Arabidopsis thaliana: one gene and its partner. The protein of the gene in region 1 interacts with the protein of each later gene in a pairwise test. Each region holds a gene or a part of one and is shown in the gene's direction. Other genes may lie near its edges.

Region 1 (3,901 bases):
TCTATCATCTTTGGTGGCACTATAATGTCTTCGACAAATTTTGCTAGCTTTGATTCAGCCACCTATTCAAATAGAAGAGTTCATTTGGATGAGTCACGAGTGAAAGCAGCAAGAGATAATACCAATAGTGGTTTCTGATTAGCTATACCCTGCGGTTTTTCAATCTCAAACCCATGTCCATTGACTTTTCTTGAAGAATCTTTATGTCTGAACTTATAGAACCAATCTCTTCCTGAAAGAAAAGAAGCAAAGTGCACATTTAGATTACCAGGAAAAAATATATGTATTTCAAAGTAAAAAAATTCCTCCCATTAAGCAAAAGTCAGAATAAGGAGAAAGAAGCACATACATACACACAAATTATATAAATGTCTAATTTTCAAATACCTGAAATCCACTGAGAAGAGTTTCCATTTGTGACAGGATGCTGTCACAGTCACGAATCTGATCGTGAAGTGAGACTAGGTTGTCACTTTCCTTTATGTAATCCTGAGTATTCATGGAATGTAAAGCATTTAAGTTAGTTACTTACGATATCAAAGAAATTCCCGAACTTATAGACGGAAGTACATAAAAAGTAGAAAACAACAAGTGCCACAATGTAGCACAGGTAGAGAATAACAACCTCGATTGAATCCAATTCAACCTTGCGTAGATTGTTTTCAACCCCTTTTGCATATTCTCTAAGTTTGTCACCACTAGACAGTATATTGGCAACAACCTGACATTTCACACAAACAAGATAGAAAGGACATCATATCCATGGATCTAACATTCTATGATCAATCCATGTACTCCAAAGTAACTCAAATGAGAGTAGAAACAATACTTCGAAAAAGAAGAACCGAGGTGCTAGCTTTATAAGTTTGATCTCAGTTAAGTGAATAACTTACCTCATCACTTTCACATTCTTCAAGTTCTTGTTGAAGCCCTTCCAATGAAATATCCTCACTGCCAAACAAATCAAAGGAGAGCATTCTAATCAGAAGAACAAAGAGAAGCAGAAACATATGTTATAGTCGAATTAAGATACAAAACATGAGAACGTTACCTGCCTGAATCTTCTTCAAAAGCCAAGTCTCCAACAAATGCTCCTAAATCAAATCCAAGTTTCTCATGATTACTAAAGTCCCCCATAGTTTGGCCCTATGAATTTCAGATAGAAGAGCAAAGCGAATTAGACAAGAGATCATAAAGGATCCATGATTAAGGCTAGAAGATCACGAATGCAAAAAAAATGAAGTACCAATGCGTCAATGGAAATGTCGGACATCTTCCTAATGAGATTAAGAGTTGAAAGATCTTCAACTAGAAAACGAAATCAGAATCCTCGAAATCAGTTTGAGTCCGCCATTAGAGAGTCTTCTTCTTCTTCTTCTTCTTCTTCTTCTTCTTCTTCTTCTTCTTCAGCTTCACCTTTCTCAGATTCGTTCGTCTTCTCTAATCTGATTTTTAATTTCCCAATCAACAATAAAGGCCCATTGGGCCGTTAAAAGACTTATATATAAAACAAACGGGTTAAAATATGGGTCGCCCGATAAAACCCGTTTTGATAAATCATAAAACCTCAGAAGTCGGAAGACCTCAAGTGATGCTTTTTACTCGAGACAGAAGAAGATGATGAAGCAAGCCCGCTCTTTGCTCTCCAGGTTACTTCAGTTCCTCTCAAAATTCAGATTTTAGATTTCATTACTCTTAAAATGGCTTCTCTGGGTTGGTTTGTTTTTGTTAAAGCAGGAGCCTTTGTGACCAAAGTAAGTCACTTTTCGAAGCTTCGACGTTGCGTGGTTTTGCAAGCTGGTCAAATTCTTCAACCCCTGGACGTGGATTCCCTGGTAAAGGTAAGAACTTGGTTTGTTTCCGTTTCGTCAGTTTAAGTGTACTTGCCCTAATTTTGTTTGCTTGATTTGAGAAGATGCCGCAAAGCCTAGTGGTCGATTGTTCGCACCTTATTCTATCTTCAAAGGAAAAGCTGCTCTCTCTGTTGAACCTGTTCTTCCCAGTTTCACTGAAATCGATGTAAGCCCAAAATCCATTTCTTTTTAGTTTTGTGTGTTCTCTTTAAAGGCTTCTTTTAGATTCTCATTACTTACTGTGAGTACAATTGTTTAGTCGGGAAATCTTCGGATAGATCGTCGTGGATCCTTAATGATGACTTTTATGCCTGCTATTGGTGAGCGTAAGTACGACTGGGAAAAGAAACAGGTATTGATCTTTTTCACACTCTCTATCTTCTTCACTTGTCTCTTCTTTCTCCTCTGATAAATTTGGTTTGTTTCCTACATTATTGCAGAAATTTGCTTTGTCACCTACTGAAGTTGGATCCTTAATTAGCATGGGTTCCAAAGACAGCTCCGAGTTTTTCCATGACCCTTCCATGAAATCAAGGTTTGTCTTTTTTTGCTTCAATACATTATATTTTTATCGCAGCATTTTCATGTTCTGACATAGACTTGTCTTTGACTCCTCAGTAATGCTGGTCAAGTCAGGAAGTCACTGTCAGTTAAGCCCCACGCAGATGGTAGCGGCTACTTCATCTCATTGAGTAAGGCTTCTATCAAATTAACATGGATAATCAGTACTGAAATACTTAGTTATGGGAGCTTTCTGTTTAGTAAATTTAGAAGCTTGCACTTGTATTAGTTTTGTAATATGGCGATAACAGTTTTCGCACAGAATAGCTGTCTTATAACAATAGGAATGCTGAATTCTTAATGCTGTATAAACACTTACCTTCTGCGGTTTTGTTGCAGGCGTTAACAATAGCATCCTCAAAACCAATGACTATTTTGTGGTTCCTGTCACAAAAGCTGAATTTGCAGTGATGAAGACAGCTTTTAGTGTAAGATAAGATTTTTATTCTGCGTTCTCTATATTCTGTTACTATTATATCAGTTCGAGAACCAAAAACATTGACTAGAAAAACCAAGGGCATTGCTTCTCTGTCAGTTTTAGCACATGAATCTGGATCAAGTATATATTCTTCAAGGGATATTGGTGATTGTTTTTTAACCAGATTTTGTATTTTGTGCAGTTTGCTCTTCCACACATCATGGGTTGGAATCGGTTAACTGGTCACGTTAATACTGAAGCTCTGCCGTCGAGGAATGTTTCTCATCTAAAGACTGAACCACAGTTAGAGCTGGAGTGGGATAAATGAAATGATGAGAGTAGTAGGAACGGAGTAAATTGAAAATGCATGTGTTCTTTTTTCTGGCATTTGGTGCACACGAAACTCGGCATGCTCTGTTTTGAAACTAATATGTCCTCTCTAAGACTTCTAAATCATGGGTCTTCTTGTTTTCATTAGCACATATGTTATTTAGTACAAGCATTTTGGTTTCAACTTGATACTCGATACTCATAGATAGATAGGTTCAATCATTATAACATACAACTTCAAAGAAACACGAAAACCAAAATATACTAGTGAAGGAGTGTCATCTGTTGGACATTGACAGGATATGCGTCGGAAGGTGGACCATAGAAAGCTCGTCTAGCCAGAATGGAGTTAGCAGTCTGAGTAGGATGGAATGCATCCCAAAAGACATACTGATTTCTGTTGGGACAAGGAGTCTGCAACGGCAGACATGTAATTTGTCCTTGGTTCCTCCCAATCCCGCAACAAGCCCTGTCTACTACGCTAAATCCTGTACCATATAAACCATGTTTGATCAGAGTAGAAATCATAGAAGAAACTCCTTTGACAACCATGTTATCCGAGAATAAGTGTACCGTAAGCAGCTGGGTTGTTTAAGATGTCACCAATTGCGCTATAGGTGTTGCCGTATACATAGATGGCTCCAGGTGATCGCTGGTTCAGCTGATCAACAAGTGACTTTAGCCCTTGGTTAAATGTGCCTAGAATCTGATTCACGCTGTCAACACATCTATCAGGTGG
Region 2 (5,029 bases), about 23 Mb from region 1:
TGCGATGATATCTGCAAGTTCCGGCACATGAACGAGCATCTTGTTCATATAGAATGAAATAATTTTTTGCTGCTAATCTTATTTTCAGCCATTTGATTTCTGTTTCTCTTTCTGGTCGCTGAGCATTTCTTATATTGAACTCTTGAGTAATTGTTGTTTCCTGATTCATGGTTATGATGAACTTATGACAATTGTTTTTTAAACGAAAAATTATGGACACATTTCTTAATTAGCTTTCTTGTTTTCTTAATCTACATTAATAATATACTAGTAGTGATCTAGCAGAATATAATTACAGTTTATGATAAAGTTTGTTTTTGGAGTATACTTATGTATCAAAGAAGTATTGTCCTATGCTTAAAAAAGATAAAAGAAGATAATCTCCTTAAAACAAGATAAACCTCAGATTGCATTACATTAAAATAAAACGAGAAAACGCAAAACGCGCACCACCAACAATTTCAAAACCAAAAAAACTTGTCTATATATAACGTGATTAACTCCTGCATTGAAAAATGACCTGGTGATAATTTCTTCTCAATTCAAATACATAAATAAATATCAATAAAATGGCGGGCCGCGACACATTCCAGCTGCGTTTTGCAGCAGTCGCGGCATCCGCCGCCGTATTGATCTTTCTCATGGCTGGTCAAGTCGCGGAGTCGCGTATGATCAATATCTGCTCTCACACCGCGTATCCATCTTTGTGCCGACCTCTGGTGAAACGTGTCACGAGCCCTAGAAAAGCCACGCACCGAACCATCCAAGCTTTGGAGGCTAAGACGAAACTAGCTCTAGCCGAAACAGCTAGGTTCAAAAACGGTAACCAAGCGGTCAGCACGTGTTACGAGACATTGGGCGACGCGGTTTACAATTTGGCAAGCGCGAGAAAGAGCATAAGGAAACGTGATGTGCCGGCGATGAACACGTATCTAACTGCGGCTGTGTCTGATTACGGTGCATGTGTGGACGGGTTCATTGAAACACAACAGGTTAATGCGATCCAAAATGCAGTGGTTGACTTGAGAAAAATTAGCAGCAATTGCTTGGCGTTGTCTACATTGATTAGATGATCGATTTAAGAGAACAATTGATTTAATTTTTCTCAAAACAAAAACTAATTAATTGAAGAAATAAAAAATCTCAAGCAATTAAAATTTGGGTTTCTTTTTGTTGTTTTTGTTTTGAGAGAGATGTTTGTTGTTGATCCATCATTCGTATGTAACGCCACTGGGTGTAACTAATTATATTTGAATTTCGTGTAATTAATAATCGCTAGTAGATTTTTTCATATTCAACAATTTGCCGATAGAAATGTTTTCCATTCTCCTTTCTTGAACCCACTTTACTTTTTCACTATCAACAATAAGATTAAGTTTTGACCGAAAAATAAAACAATAAGTGACAAAGACAAACACAAACTATAGTAATGCACAACTTTTTGTTTTGTTAACTACTATCACTAATTCATTATTGATATGGATATCATTATGATGTTTTTAGAAAGTATATGTGTGATTATGTTTTACTTTTCCCAGGATCCATAACAAAAAAATATCTTTGAGAAAATAATTTGGCTATATCATATATTGGATAAAAATATTGCCATTTAAAATGGTCTTTTAACTCTTTTTCTTAAAATCTGTATGTATATTATAGTTTGATATGATCATAAAAGCATTCAATAATTTTTCTTTCATGCAAAACTGATAGATCTTGCTCAATGATCATGTTTCAATGTCTTTAAGTGTTTTAAGAAAGTGAGAATTGCTTTGATTTGGATTGAAAAATATTGGACCATAATAAACACACATAACATTATACAAAATTATCCTTTGCTTCTATATTTAACATACATTTTGTTTTCCACAATGTGTAAAACTCTCTATAGAAGAAACACCACACAAAAACACCAAATAAGGTTTAGCTAGGATATAATTGACATGATTGAACAAGTGGGCTTGGGATATATATCACTACAAGAATAGAAAGATAAACAAAAATATCTTCTGCAATTCGTGGTTTGTGAACACAAGAGAAAAAAAAAAAAAAACATGTCGACCAATAAAAAAAAGATACAAGAGAACGAAGCATAAAAATATCAAAACAAAAAGACAAAAACAGGAAAATAGAAAAAAGAAAGAAAAATTAAAAAAAGCTAAAATCAACGGTGAGAAGATTCTGTATATAATAAGAAAATATCACCCAAATAAAAAAAAAAGGTGGAGTCCACAGATACCGTCCATCAACGTATCACTGGGCTCTCTTTCTCCGTGCCGTTCCTCCTACGTGCTCGAATAACGATGTGCCACGTGGTGGAATCGAAGGATAAAGTGTCGTTTTTTACTTCGATTACACGTGAGTGTATGTATGTGTGAGTGAGTGAAGAAGAACAAAGAGCGAAGAAACCCCCCAGCACTCACTTCATCCATAAGATCATTCAAATTCTGGGATCTTCTCTCTTTCTCTCATTGTATTCAGTTTCTTCGTCTCGGTTCGATCATCAGGTATCTTTTTCAATTGAATTTTACCTTCAATTTCGATTGCTTTCGGTGTTTTTGTTATTTGATTCAAATTGCAAATTTTCTTTTGATAGATATTTTCGTTTTGACTATAAAAGACGATTCTTTTCTTCTTAGTGTATATTGCACATGTTCCATTCGCAGAATGAAGTAACTGTTTCTCTACAAAGTGAAAATAAAATAAAAATAACAAGTGTGGTTCTCTTGTCTAACTCTGTCAGATTCTTCTTTTTGAGACAAATAGTATAACTTGTTCCTTTTTTTTCTCATCTATTGCAAAAGCTTCATTGTTTTCCTTATTATCTTATTATATAATCTCTACTTTACTTAACAGATCCGGCAAGTTTGATTCAGTGACAAGAAAGCATGAGTAACTCTGTAGTGCATAACTTACTTAACCGGGGTTTGATTCGTCCTCTTAACTTTGAACATCAAAACAAGCTCAACTCCTCTGTGTACCAAACTTCAACAGCAAATCCGGCTCTTGGCAAGATTGGCAGATCAAAACTTTACGGGAAAGGTCTTAAGCAGGCAGGACGCAGTCTGGTCACTGAAACAGGAGGAAGACCTCTCTCATTTGTTCCACGAGCTGTCCTTGCCATGGATCCTCAGGTTATTTTCTTATGGATTTACTTTTCACCACTATTGACATTGTTTGGAATGTGATATTTTGGTTCCAACTACTCAATGTATGTTAGACGTTTCATGTCCAAAACTTTTTCATTGACCTGAATCATATGCATTGTTCTTCCAATTGAATGCATAAGATAGTTATTTTATCGACATGTGTGCTAAAAAGTTTCATCCTTTAACAGGCAGCCGAGAAATTTAGTCTTGACGGAAATATCGATTTACTGGTAAGTATATCCTTACAAATAATGGAAATTTCTATCTTGTTGGCATTTGTAGACTTAATGGTAGGTTTTATGAATGTAATTGAATAGGTTGAAGTCACTTCTACAACTGTAAGAGAAGTAAATATCCAGATAGCTTATACAAGTGACACATTGTTCCTACACTGGGGTGCAATTCTTGACAACAAAGAGTATGTCCTTGTCTAGTGATGTTCAACTTTCCTAGGTAATAGCTTGTTATGGCACATGGTATAGTTAACTATCTTTCTTATTTTCCATGTCAGAAATTGGGTTCTACCTTCTCGCTCTCCGGATAGAACTCAAAACTTCAAGAACAGTGCGCTTAGAACTCCATTTGTGAAAGTAAGCTTTGAATTCATTCTTCGACGTACATTACAGCGCTACTTGTGATGGTATGATTTCCAGCTGATACCAGTACAACTTAAGATTTCCAAATGATGCTTTGAGTTCTTATCTGCAGTCCGGTGGCAATTCTCACCTTAAACTAGAGATAGATGATCCTGCCATACACGCTATTGAGTTCCTTATATTTGACGAAAGTCGGAACAAATGGTTAGCTTGTTTTCGCTTCTTCTTACTTACTAAGCCTGAGCAGAGAACCTAATTCTGTTTACAATTTTTGTCGTTTCTCATAATCTAAAACATATGCAGGTATAAAAATAATGGTCAGAATTTTCATATAAACTTACCAACGGAAAGGAATGTGAAACAAAATGTTTCTGTTCCTGAAGATCTTGTACAGATCCAAGCATATCTTAGATGGGAACGTAAGGGTAAACAAATGTACAACCCTGAGAAAGAGAAGGTCAGTCAGACGTTGTACCTATACAAGCATATCTTCAAGGATTATTTTTCTTCATATATTTTTAAATTCTTCACCTTTTATGTTGTTCTACAATTCACATAAAGAGGAATCATGATTCTCACCAGCCATTTAGTTGATTCCATCACCAGTACAAATTTCCAACAATTTTGATTTAGATGCAGATTCTGGTATATTGGACTGATCAGCAAATTGATGATAGGTTAGCTAAGTTGAAAATGCTCTTGATTGATTTTTTGGTAATAGCGTTTTAGTTGGCTCTGGTGGCTCTTGAAAATATATTTGTTGCTTTATCTGATGAACCTGTATATATCTCAGTTGCATCAATATCAAGTTCTCTGCATTTTTGTGTAAATCCATTATTTTATAGCTAAGCAGAATAATTTGTCTCTGATCAATAGGAGGAGTATGAAGCCGCCCGGACGGAGCTACGGGAGGAAATGATGCGAGGTGCTTCAGTGGAAGATCTCAGAGCAAAGCTGTTGAAGAAAGATAACAGTAATGAATCCCCAAAATCTAATGGGACATCATCCAGTGGACGGGAGGAAAAGAAAAAAGTTTCCAAGCAACCAGAGCGTAAAAAAAATTATAACACTGACAAGATCCAGCGCAAGGGAAGGGACCTGACTAAGCTTATCTATAAGCATGTTGCTGATTTTGTTGAACCAGAATCCAAATCCTCATCTGAACCACGGTCCTTAACAACTCTGGAGATATACGCCAAAGCAAAGGAGGAACAAGAAACCACTCCAGTCTTTAGCAAGAAAACATTCAAGCTTGAAGGCAGTGCGATTTTGGTCAGTTGATAG

The links. Proteins that work in one complex are often made in the same cells at the same time.
Region 2: the proteins of ATWHY2 (region 1) and SEX1 interact in binary tests that used the Arabidopsis thaliana proteins (3 or more experiments, as listed by UniProt).

Annotation. Positions count from the first base shown.
Region 1 is NC_003070.9:26,861,108-26,865,008, reverse strand, and holds ATWHY2 (WHIRLY 2), read left to right. Parts: upstream 1-1,554; 5' UTR 1,555-1,617; coding exon 1,618-1,649; intron 1,650-1,737; coding exon 1,738-1,841; intron 1,842-1,915; coding exon 1,916-2,019; intron 2,020-2,112; coding exon 2,113-2,205; intron 2,206-2,293; coding exon 2,294-2,388; intron 2,389-2,471; coding exon 2,472-2,545; intron 2,546-2,753; coding exon 2,754-2,842; exon of another isoform or gene 2,843-3,034; coding exon 3,035-3,160; 3' UTR 3,161-3,352; downstream 3,353-3,901. Other genes in the region: POK (Vps52 / Sac2 family), read right to left, coding at 1-62, 149-232, 388-489, 626-721, 894-951, 1,052-1,146, 1,247-1,273; AT1G71250 (GDSL-like Lipase/Acylhydrolase superfamily protein), read right to left, coding at 3,427-3,650, 3,736-3,901. UniProt on the Arabidopsis thaliana protein: Single-stranded DNA-binding protein that associates with mitochondrial DNA and may play a role in the regulation of the gene expression machinery. Also seems to be required to prevent break-induced DNA rearrangements in the mitochondrial genome.
Region 2 is NC_003070.9:3,587,903-3,592,931, reverse strand, and holds the start of SEX1 (Pyruvate phosphate dikinase, PEP/pyruvate binding domain-containing protein), read left to right. Parts: upstream 1-2,003; 5' UTR 2,004-2,056; intron 2,057-2,132; 5' UTR 2,133-2,507; intron 2,508-2,856; 5' UTR 2,857-2,888; coding exon 2,889-3,134; intron 3,135-3,337; coding exon 3,338-3,379; intron 3,380-3,466; coding exon 3,467-3,567; intron 3,568-3,660; coding exon 3,661-3,739; intron 3,740-3,857; coding exon 3,858-3,949; intron 3,950-4,048; coding exon 4,049-4,202; intron 4,203-4,621; coding exon 4,622-5,017; intron 5,018-5,029. Other genes in the region: AT1G10780 (F-box/RNI-like superfamily protein), read left to right, coding at 1-57; AT1G10770 (Plant invertase/pectin methylesterase inhibitor superfamily protein), read left to right, coding at 570-1,073. UniProt on the Arabidopsis thaliana protein: Mediates the incorporation of phosphate into starch-like alpha-glucan, mostly at the C-6 position of glucose units. Acts as an overall regulator of starch mobilization.